2 linked regions of the Caenorhabditis elegans genome follow. The protein of the gene in region 1 purifies or fractionates together with the protein of each later gene. This does not show direct contact. Each region holds a gene or a part of one and is shown on either strand. Other genes may lie near its edges.

The links. Proteins that work in one complex are often made in the same cells at the same time.
Region 2: the proteins of F23D12.10 (region 1) and tag-273 purify together in Caenorhabditis elegans (affinity purification with mass spectrometry, with the first as the bait; one large-scale study listed by BioGRID). This does not show direct contact.

The regions. Positions count from the first base shown.
Region 1 is NC_003284.9:14,413,026-14,417,499, forward strand, and holds F23D12.10 (Protein kinase domain-containing protein), read right to left. Parts: upstream 2,717-4,474; 5' UTR 2,632-2,716; coding exon 2,602-2,631; intron 2,558-2,601; coding exon 2,297-2,557; intron 2,197-2,296; coding exon 2,041-2,196; intron 1,990-2,040; coding exon 1,153-1,989; intron 1,108-1,152; coding exon 772-1,107; intron 725-771; coding exon 686-724; 3' UTR 553-685; downstream 1-552. Other genes in the region: F23D12.2 (BRCA-2_OB1 domain-containing protein), read right to left, coding at 3,339-3,470, 3,522-3,728, 3,919-4,474.
Region 2 is NC_003282.8:14,502,112-14,506,762, forward strand, and holds the start of tag-273 (LIM zinc-binding domain-containing protein), read right to left. Parts: upstream 3,029-4,651; coding exon 2,921-3,028; intron 2,882-2,920; exon of another isoform or gene 2,861-2,881; intron 2,754-2,860; exon of another isoform or gene 2,733-2,753; intron 2,490-2,732; exon of another isoform or gene 2,469-2,489; intron 2,404-2,468; exon of another isoform or gene 2,383-2,403; intron 2,051-2,382; exon of another isoform or gene 2,027-2,050; intron 1,982-2,026; exon of another isoform or gene 1,956-1,981; intron 1,926-1,955; coding exon 1,902-1,925; intron 1,614-1,901; coding exon 1,509-1,613; exon of another isoform or gene 1,495-1,508; intron 1,387-1,494; exon of another isoform or gene 1,363-1,386; intron 1,298-1,362; exon of another isoform or gene 1,277-1,297; intron 1,241-1,276; exon of another isoform or gene 1,220-1,240; intron 1,046-1,219; coding exon 807-1,045; intron 625-806; exon of another isoform or gene 604-624; intron 422-603; exon of another isoform or gene 401-421; intron 162-400; exon of another isoform or gene 140-161; intron 1-139.

The DNA of each region.
Region 1 (4,474 bases):
AAAAACAACAAAAACTTGAAATTTATCTTTTAGTTATGTCGTTAAAAAATGTGGCTTTTTAAATTGAAAAATCAATGAAATCAAAAGGAAAAACAGTGTTCCGAATGACGTTGCAAGGATAATAAAAATGCACATACATATGCAACATCATATTTGACGACACTTGGAGAAGCTGAGAAATAGAGAAGGTGTGCGCTATCGATTAAACAGTTTTGGAGTACTCTGAGAAGAATCTCGTATAGATAAAGCGTAAACCATTGAAAAACGAGAGATGTCTTGAAAAACTGTTCATGAAATTATTTAAAAAAATTTCCATCTGGAACATTAAAGCAGTGTGTACATACAATTTTATTATATAGCAAGGTTTGCGGTAAATTTGCGAAAATGTGAGAAAGTATCGGGCTTAAGATGATGATCACAGAAATAATTTGAAGTAAAATACCAAAAAATTCATTGTGCAATTCTTCACTCGACAGTCAGTCTTTTAAATGTTTACTTTAAATGTTAATGTTAATTGCTAGGAAAAATATACCAAAAATTATATACTAAATATTATAAAAAAAGGCAAATAAAAATCAAACGATATTCACAAAGTGGCGTTTAAATAATTAATTTCAATTAAAAAGTGTTATAATTGTACAAATGAAGATCAATTCAATATGGAGGAAGTTTAGTTTCAAAGTTATTAGTTGCTGTGGCCAGTAGTGCGCGGAAGATTGTATATCTGAAACCAATTAAAAGTTAAAGTTATGCGTAACTATTTGAAATTACCTCCTTCAATTTGGTAAAGCTTTTAGTGCTATCAATAACAGACGCATGGTGACCAGCGAATTGTGCCATGTTTTGTCTCAACCAGTTTTTCTTATTTGGTTCCAAATCAGGAAGGCGACCGCAGTTTCCAAATTTCATACAAATGGAAGGTTTTGTAGTTTTCTGCAGTTTATTTGAATCAGCAAATTCATGACTATCCTTTTTTGGCGAAAAGATTGCAGCTATTGGAGATGAAGAATACTCGGAGACCACTTTCTTTGGAGTTCCGGTTCCCATCCTTTCAATTAGTTTACCCATCGACGGGCCATATTGATACTCGTTTTTGCCAAACACTTTCTGAAATAAAAATATTCATCACTACCAATTTCAGTAATATCTCACCTTTGGGCTGAACAAGTTTTCATTCATTGTTCTTGAAGAATTTGAATAGTTGTAATCTAATATTGGTAGCTGACCAACATCTACTGTCGTTGGAATTTCCTTAACATTTTTTTGTTTCAAGTTGTTTGCGTTGATTGGCACTTTGACATCTTTAATTGCTTTGTTCTCGTGCAAGTTTTGAGTAGAGCCAATCACTTCTTCCGGCGTTATCTCAGTTTTATCAGGACAAGTTTCCGCACGTTCGTCTTTGATGAACTTATGTGATCCTTTGAACAAATCAATTTTTGCCGAGGAATCGCCTTTGAAGAAGTTTCCCTGGGGAGTTTTTGCAGATGATGGCTCATAGTCAGGTTTTTCAGTTTTTGAGCATTTCAAAAGCTCTTTTGTTAGTTTTCTAGAAGTATACACTACGTTATCATCTAACGAACATATCTCCACTTTTCTCTTCTGGTGTTTCGCCACATTATTCTGGAGCATTGGGATATAGTTGTCATCTGAGATCATATCCATCATTTCGTTTATGGAAGTTGCGATCTTCTCAGTATTCTTGAGATTGGATTCTGTGTTGTTAGTTCTCATCAAAGAAATTTCCAAGTCCGCTGGATTCATTTCCAAGTCCGCTGGATGAAAATGGGATTTTGAAGCGAAATGCATTTTTTGTTTGTAATTATTACTCACATTTTTCAAATTCGTTTTGCTCACGGCAGATTTTGAAACAGGAAAATTGCAATTGATTATATCTGGTTGTTCATTAATCTCCAGTGGTTTGATAGCAAAATTTGAATTTTTGGTGATTGCAGACTTGAAGAAAGGTCCGAACACATAGTTGGCAATTTTCTGAAAATAATTTTATAAAATAAAATAAAGCAAAACCAAAATGCAACCAACCGATAGTTTTTTAATTAAAGACCTCGTTTTATCATCAACCTTTTCTTCATTACGTTGATCATTTTTGCAAGAGTTGTTATTATTATTATCTGATGTGCACAACTTTGGAGCCTCCCAAATCATCGTTGGATATTCGCCAAAAGGAGTGTTCGGAACCTAAAACATTTTAAGAGTATTTTGTAGAACATTAAACTAATATCAACAAATTTTAATATTAGTACTAAGATGTTCTTACTGTACAGTTATAAGCACTCACCGATTTAGAAGTTGTATTTGTTAAATCAAACGATGAGTGCAATTCCAGAATCCCTGACAAATTGTCTGCCATTGACACAGTTGAAGATGGGCAAGTTCCTATTTTTGGGAAAGTTGGATTCAGAGCTTCCAATGATTGCGGTTTGTAATACTCCCACATGTCAGAGCAGTAGGAAGATATTCTGCCAAATTGGAAACGATTGCAACTAGGAACCTCTGCCTCGGTCAGTGACATAGACATATGGTGATATTGGCCAAGTCCCTGTAAATACTATGCTACTGTTTATCAAGGGGATAATTACCAACCGAGTAAATAGATGCAAACTTCTCATTCATAGTTGCTCATACGTTCGAAACAACGGCACTTGATAGACAGGTTTCTTGTTTTGAATCAAGGATCCCAAGTTCCAACCAGCTAGCTGCAAAATTAATTTCTCGGATTTAAAAATTGATGAGAAACAGTTGAAATTGTAATTCGAAAAGAATAGATAAAATATACAAGCGGAAAAGGCACTCAGCTGTCTCAAGCAGTGTTCTGTAGAAAACAACGTATATTACGTACACCTGCGGACCTTGTCTCCCTTTCTCGCAGTCTCTCACATTTCCATACTGTTTTGGTGTTGTCTGCCAAAACTGTTTTTACAGGGTGTTGGTCATGTGTTTGTTTCACAGATATTTAATGGAACCAAACAAGATGTAATAAGTTTAAAAAAAAATGCTATTAGAAATAGAAATATATAAAAATTCAAAATGGCCCAATTTTGCACCAATGGTATGATAATCAATTTAGAAATAAATATGTTAGGAATCAAGGATTTATAGCAAAAATAACAGCACAGTGTTCTTGGTCTAAAAGTTTGAAATATACATCTAAAAAAATCAATAAACCGATTTAGGGGATTTGTATTTAAAATCAAACAAACATTCGTTATAATATACGAAACAAGTTATCACTGACATGAGAAACCCATAAAATATAACCGTATTTTGGAAAATAAATGGAAAATGACAACCGGAACAGATGTAATGATATCCAAAACCCTTCACAATGGAAAATGAATAGTTTTAGTAGAGTGATCGAATATCGATATAATTCGAAATCCAGAACCATCCGATGGTTTTTCAGTTTCCGGATTTGAACTGGTACAGGCATCCACCGGCGCAATATCGCTTTTCTAAAAATAAAAATAGTTATATCAAAATATGAAATACTAAATTTTTATCACCTCATTTGAACATTCTACTACTCCGCTCGTTGAGTTATGAGAAGACTGTTTCAGCGGCACGTATCGCCCAAACAACTGTGCCATATTTCGTTCTAGCCATTTCCCGTCACTTGGTTTCAAATCTCTTGCCTTGTGATTTGAACGTTGAAAAGTTGGATCCCGGCAGGTGTTCGCATGTAAACCGTTTTTATTTACTCCGGAAGGAATCTGAAAAAAGAAACAATTTTACTGAATTTTCGTTATTTTTAGATTGTTAAAATTCAGTGTTTTCATAAATTTTAGTTTATTTCCGATTAAAAAAAAGCTAAATTGAAAAAACATTGGGTCAACTGGATTACCCGTCGATCTTATATATTTCCTAGTAAGTACAAATTAGAGCAGCTTTTGAATCACGTACCTTTGTAGTTGTGGTATTCTTCAATTTAGTCCGGCCATGAGATACGAGCGAACTAACTTTAGAACTGGTGTTTGATATTTGTGAAGACGTTGGAATTATTTGAGATGGTATTGTGCCATAGGTTTGCCTCCGTTTTTCCATTTCGCCGGTTTTCCCGTGTATGACTTCATCACTAGATTTTCTCGAAGCTTGAGCTGATATAATTGACAACTGCTTTGCTAAATTCTGAGTTTTCTCCCGTAAATCTTGCATAAGCTTTTGACTCGCAATATATTCATCTTTGCTTTGAAGAATGGCAGGCAATTTAACATTTGACACCAAGATTTTTCTTGTTGATGAAGGTGTACTTGGTTGAACCACTGGTATCGTTGAAATCGGAGGTTTTGTTATTTGTAAGTTGATTTCAGCTGCTTTTCGAGCATTTAGTTCCGTCTTGACAGTGTTAGTTTCCTCTATGACAATGGAGCGAGTTGAGTTCCCTGAAGAATTGACAGCTTTTGGAATAGGGAATCGCTGTTTTGCATTCTTCTTCTTTTCCAAAAACTCCTTCATTCGC
Region 2 (4,651 bases), on another chromosome or scaffold:
TTTGAAACTGCTCAATTTGAAAAAAAAGTTGCAGAATTTCGATAAATGTTATCTTTTTTTCATACTTCTAAATTTAATTTTCAGAAAGCTTTTCATCTGCGTCTGGCCAAATATGTATTTTTTGAACTTTGCTTTTAAAAATGTGTTCGAAAAATTGATAACGCTTTCGGGTCAGGCTAATTTGTTAAATAAACATTGTAGAACAGTGAAAAATTTACAAAAAATTCAAATTGTTTTTAATAAGAAAATAATCTCGCAAAAACGTTTAAAAAACCATTTTTATAGTCTAAAGTTTGCTTTTTGAAACAAAAACCTTAAAAATCATTTGATTTTTTCTCATTCTCAGTCAATTTTTATGAGACATGATCACGGTAATCTTGCAATGAAAATAGAGATTTGGTTCCGAAAAAAAAAACATGGATTAACAATATTACAAATTTTACTATTTATGGAGTTGACAAAACTGCGGAATTTTTAAAGTTTAAATTAATTTAAATAATTGTTTTGTTACTTTATAAAATAGTTATTTATTTCTAGTAAGAATTGCGATTTATTTTTTTATAAGCAAAAAGTTTTAGTAATGGGGTCATTTAAGCAGTGTCGGAAAATCGAAAAGTGTTCAGATTGTAAATTGAAAAAAATTCGAATTTTTAATATCATGTTGAAACAGTGGAAATTTGTAAAGTAAAAATTTAGAAAACATTTTGAAAAAAAAAAAGATTTTTAATCAAGGCTATGATTGTTTTTTTAAAGGTTTTGCGACCTAAATGTCAGATTTTCGATTGTAACAAACATAAAAACCGCACCTCTCCTTGGCACTAGCCAAAGTCTCTTTTCCAACTCCTCCAATTTGCTCCTTCTGCATTCTTTTCAGCTTCTGCTCTAAATCCTCATCCATCGTCGAATCGATATTCTCAAACTTTGTCTTGAACTTTGAGAATTTCTCCTGGCCAATTTCCGTTAGCTTCTGACGTTCTTCAAGGCGAGCAATTTTGGTTTCATCGTCCTCGTTTTCAATGTTATGCACGGCGCCGGTTTCGAAGTCCTGAAGTATTGATTTTTTTTTTTTGCTTTTTATTGATAGTCGAGATATGAGAAATGTCATATTTCGAGACGGTTGCTTGGATTTTCTTGAAATTTCTCAATTGGTAAAATTAAATTAAGAAAAAATGTTATGTTTCAACTAGTTTTCATACTTCAGTTAAAAATCTTTTTTTAATATTTCGCCCGCTTCCCAAACAATGCTTAAAATCACTTTTACTTTGTAACCAACTAATGTAATTCGAGAAGTGCGTTTTTTTTTTGAAAAAAAATTCAATGTTTCAACTATTCTATATAAGTCGTGTTCAAAACACGGAAAAGTGCTTTCGTCGTCGATCCATACCATCTTTAAAAATTTGGATGAATTTCTTATAAATCAGAAAAAAATATTTTGGTGAAAAAGTTTATCTGTTTTACTGTGCCCATATTAAGTACCAGTTTATAATACGTCAGTGCATAGAACGAACCTTTTTCATTTTCTTCAACTCCTGATTTCCGGCTTTCAAAGCTGCCAATTCCTCTTCTCGTGCCTCATCTTTGACGGGACCCTTGTTTTCGAAAAGTGCCGATTTCTGAAATAATTGGTTTATTTGTTTTGTCAATTTATTTTTTTTTTAGAAAATTGGGTGTCATAAGCAGCTGTTAACGTGATTGGAAAAGGTGGGAGAAGTGATGAAACAAGCTGTAGAAGTGCGGTAAAATTGGAGAAAAATAGGAAAAGCTGAGAAGCTTTTCATTACTTTGGGACCTTTTTTTTTGAAATGTGAGGATTGGGGTGCAGTACTAATAGGAAAATGCGATGGTAAAGCATTTTTTGAAGAAGTGGGAAGAAATTTGTGAGATTGTGGTTTCCAACTTACTGTTTGGTCGCTGAGCGCTTCTCTCTAAAAAATACATTTTTTAAATAAAAACAGTGTCTCCTTATAATTTGTCCAACGAACTTGAAATTAATTTTTTTTAACTTTTTGAAAATATATTGAAACATGTGACATAAACTTTAAATGGAATAATGAATACCTCATTGTTTTCCGACAAAAATAATTTCATGAAACGGTAATTTTTTTCTCGTATTATCTAGAAAATTCATAGATTATACCTGTGTTGAATTTTTAGATAATTTTAAAACGGGATTTTTTTCAAATTACACGGATACAGTAAAGATCAAAATTTTAGAAATGAAGGGAGTTATCTTGGAAATGATAACAGTTTTACAAAATTAACAGCAAATTTGTCTAAAAAATGTAAATTTAATAACTCACAGAACCAATAAAAATTTGTTGTTACTTGAAAAAGCGTGTTTCATGCAGCGTTTTAAAGTTGTTTAATTATCTAATCCCATGATAAATTTGGAATATTGCTAATATGAGTTTGGAAAATTTACCGTTTCAAAGTCTTTTTAAGTTTCGACGATTTTTATGCAAATTTGATCGCACCTCTCCTTTTCTTTGGTTTGTTCTTTGACAGTATCCCAATATAAACATCTTCCCGGGTACAAATTTGGAACGTTTCAAGTACGTTTAAATAGATCTTTAGATCCCATTGTGTTTTTTGGTCACTTGACAGAGCAGCCGTTTTTCGCTATTTATCCAATTCAAGTGCTGTTCTTTTATCCAATACGACTAGTTTGTATATAGTGTGGCAAGAACGCTCTAATGAGAAAAATTGAAAAAAGAAAAGTTACAGCTATATGAAAATGTGCTTGAAAATTTCAATTAAATTTTAGACATTTTTAAAAATTTGGTCTTAATTTGAAACCGAAACTAAAATTCTTGCAGTTTCACTACTTCATAAAAATTTCTCTCAAATTATCTGAATCTAATATATAATATATAATATATAATGCAAACTTCCTTTATTTTCTGACAGTTATTTCACTCACCAACTGCTTCAAATCACCGCTTCTTCCCTCAATCTTGATTGGCTTTTTTGGGGCTTCATCTTCAGATTCCGATGAAGAAAGTGCGTATGGATCCTCCTCCTCTGTCATTTTTCTGGATTAGTTTTGAGGGGGTGTCTGGAAATTTTTTAAATTAGATTCCATTGACACGCGAAACCCTGAAAATTTGGAAGAAATAACAAGAAAGAGCAAAAAAAGGATTATAATTTTTTAATGTTTCACAGTTTCATGAAAGTTGTAGTTTGCGAGTAGTACGTGTTTCCTTACATGCACTTGAATATTTATTTTCTTGTAATAAATCTGAAATATGAAAATACTGAAACATATCAAAACAATTTTTCAAAATATTCAATAAATACAGAAGCAAAAATTGATTTTATTCTGATAATATTATATAGCAGCTTTTAGAAAAATAATTATAATGAAATGGAAATATATACATTTTAAAATTTGATCAATGTTTCAAAACTTTCTCATTTTCCATTCTTTTTGTGAAAAGTGTTGATTTATGATTTTTGGGTGTCACTTTTAAAATTTAAATGTTTCTAAAAACTTATAGGACTAATAAACTACCGAAACTGATACAAAAATGATACATTTTGCAGTTAAATAAATTGGATCCACCCGCATCGGTGACATTACCAATAAACGTATTTTTAAAATTTAGTTAAAGAATAAAAAGCAGTGTAAAAAAAGCAGTGTGCCAAAAAACTTTTGTAATCAGATAACTACTTGATACATGTCTGAAACAGAGAATAAAAATTGGATGAAATACGCTATATTTAAGTTAGTGTCGATTTGCTCAGTTTAGCATTCAGTTCAAAAATGAAGTTTACGCTATATAAAATGTTAATATTTAATTTTTGAATCAGTAAATTTATTTTGTTAAACTGTGCAAAAGTTACCAAGTGAAAAAACATTTTCAGTTTCATTATTGTAACTAATAAAATGTCATATACCACTTGGCATTAGGCCATCAAAAAGTTTATTGTGATATATCTTGATTGATTTTTTTTTCAATAAAAAAAATATTTAAAATAAATTTCAAAACAGTTTCATAAGTTTTCGAAATGTAAAATCAAATGATCAGTGAAAATTATAATCGAAAAATTTCAAAATAGTGAGTGGTGAAATTGTTGGCACCGTGGAAGCAGTAAAGTGATCAACAACGGAAGGTGATAAAGAACAGTTGTTGCTGTGTGAATGTTTTTCAAAAAGAGCAGGAGGAACTGGTCATCAGGATAGATAGAAGAGATAATTGTTGCGAAACCGGAAAATTTATTTTTGGATTGTTGACAATTTTTGTGAAAACGTTATCCAGTATAAAATTAAATAAAATTGATTGAGATTTTGTGAATTATGAGAAAAAGTAGAAATTTATTCAGTTTTTTTAAGCAAAAATAAATATCAAAAAATGTTTCTCAAATTTCGAATATTAAAAAAAAGTATCTTCAAAAAGTGAATTTTAAAAAAATCTAAAAAATTAACATTCAGTAATTTTTAAAACGCAAGTTTTCAAAATTTTTGTTCCTGTTTATCGTACAAATTTTAAATTATATTTTTTAAATTCATGCTAAATTGAAATATTGAAGCTAGATTTTCATTGAAAGGTTATCTCAGCTATCTGAAAAAGTAAAAATATTAAAAGTTCAGAAAATTGAAAATTTTCAAATGAGCCGCATAAGGCTTCAAAAATTGAATATTGGTGAAAAT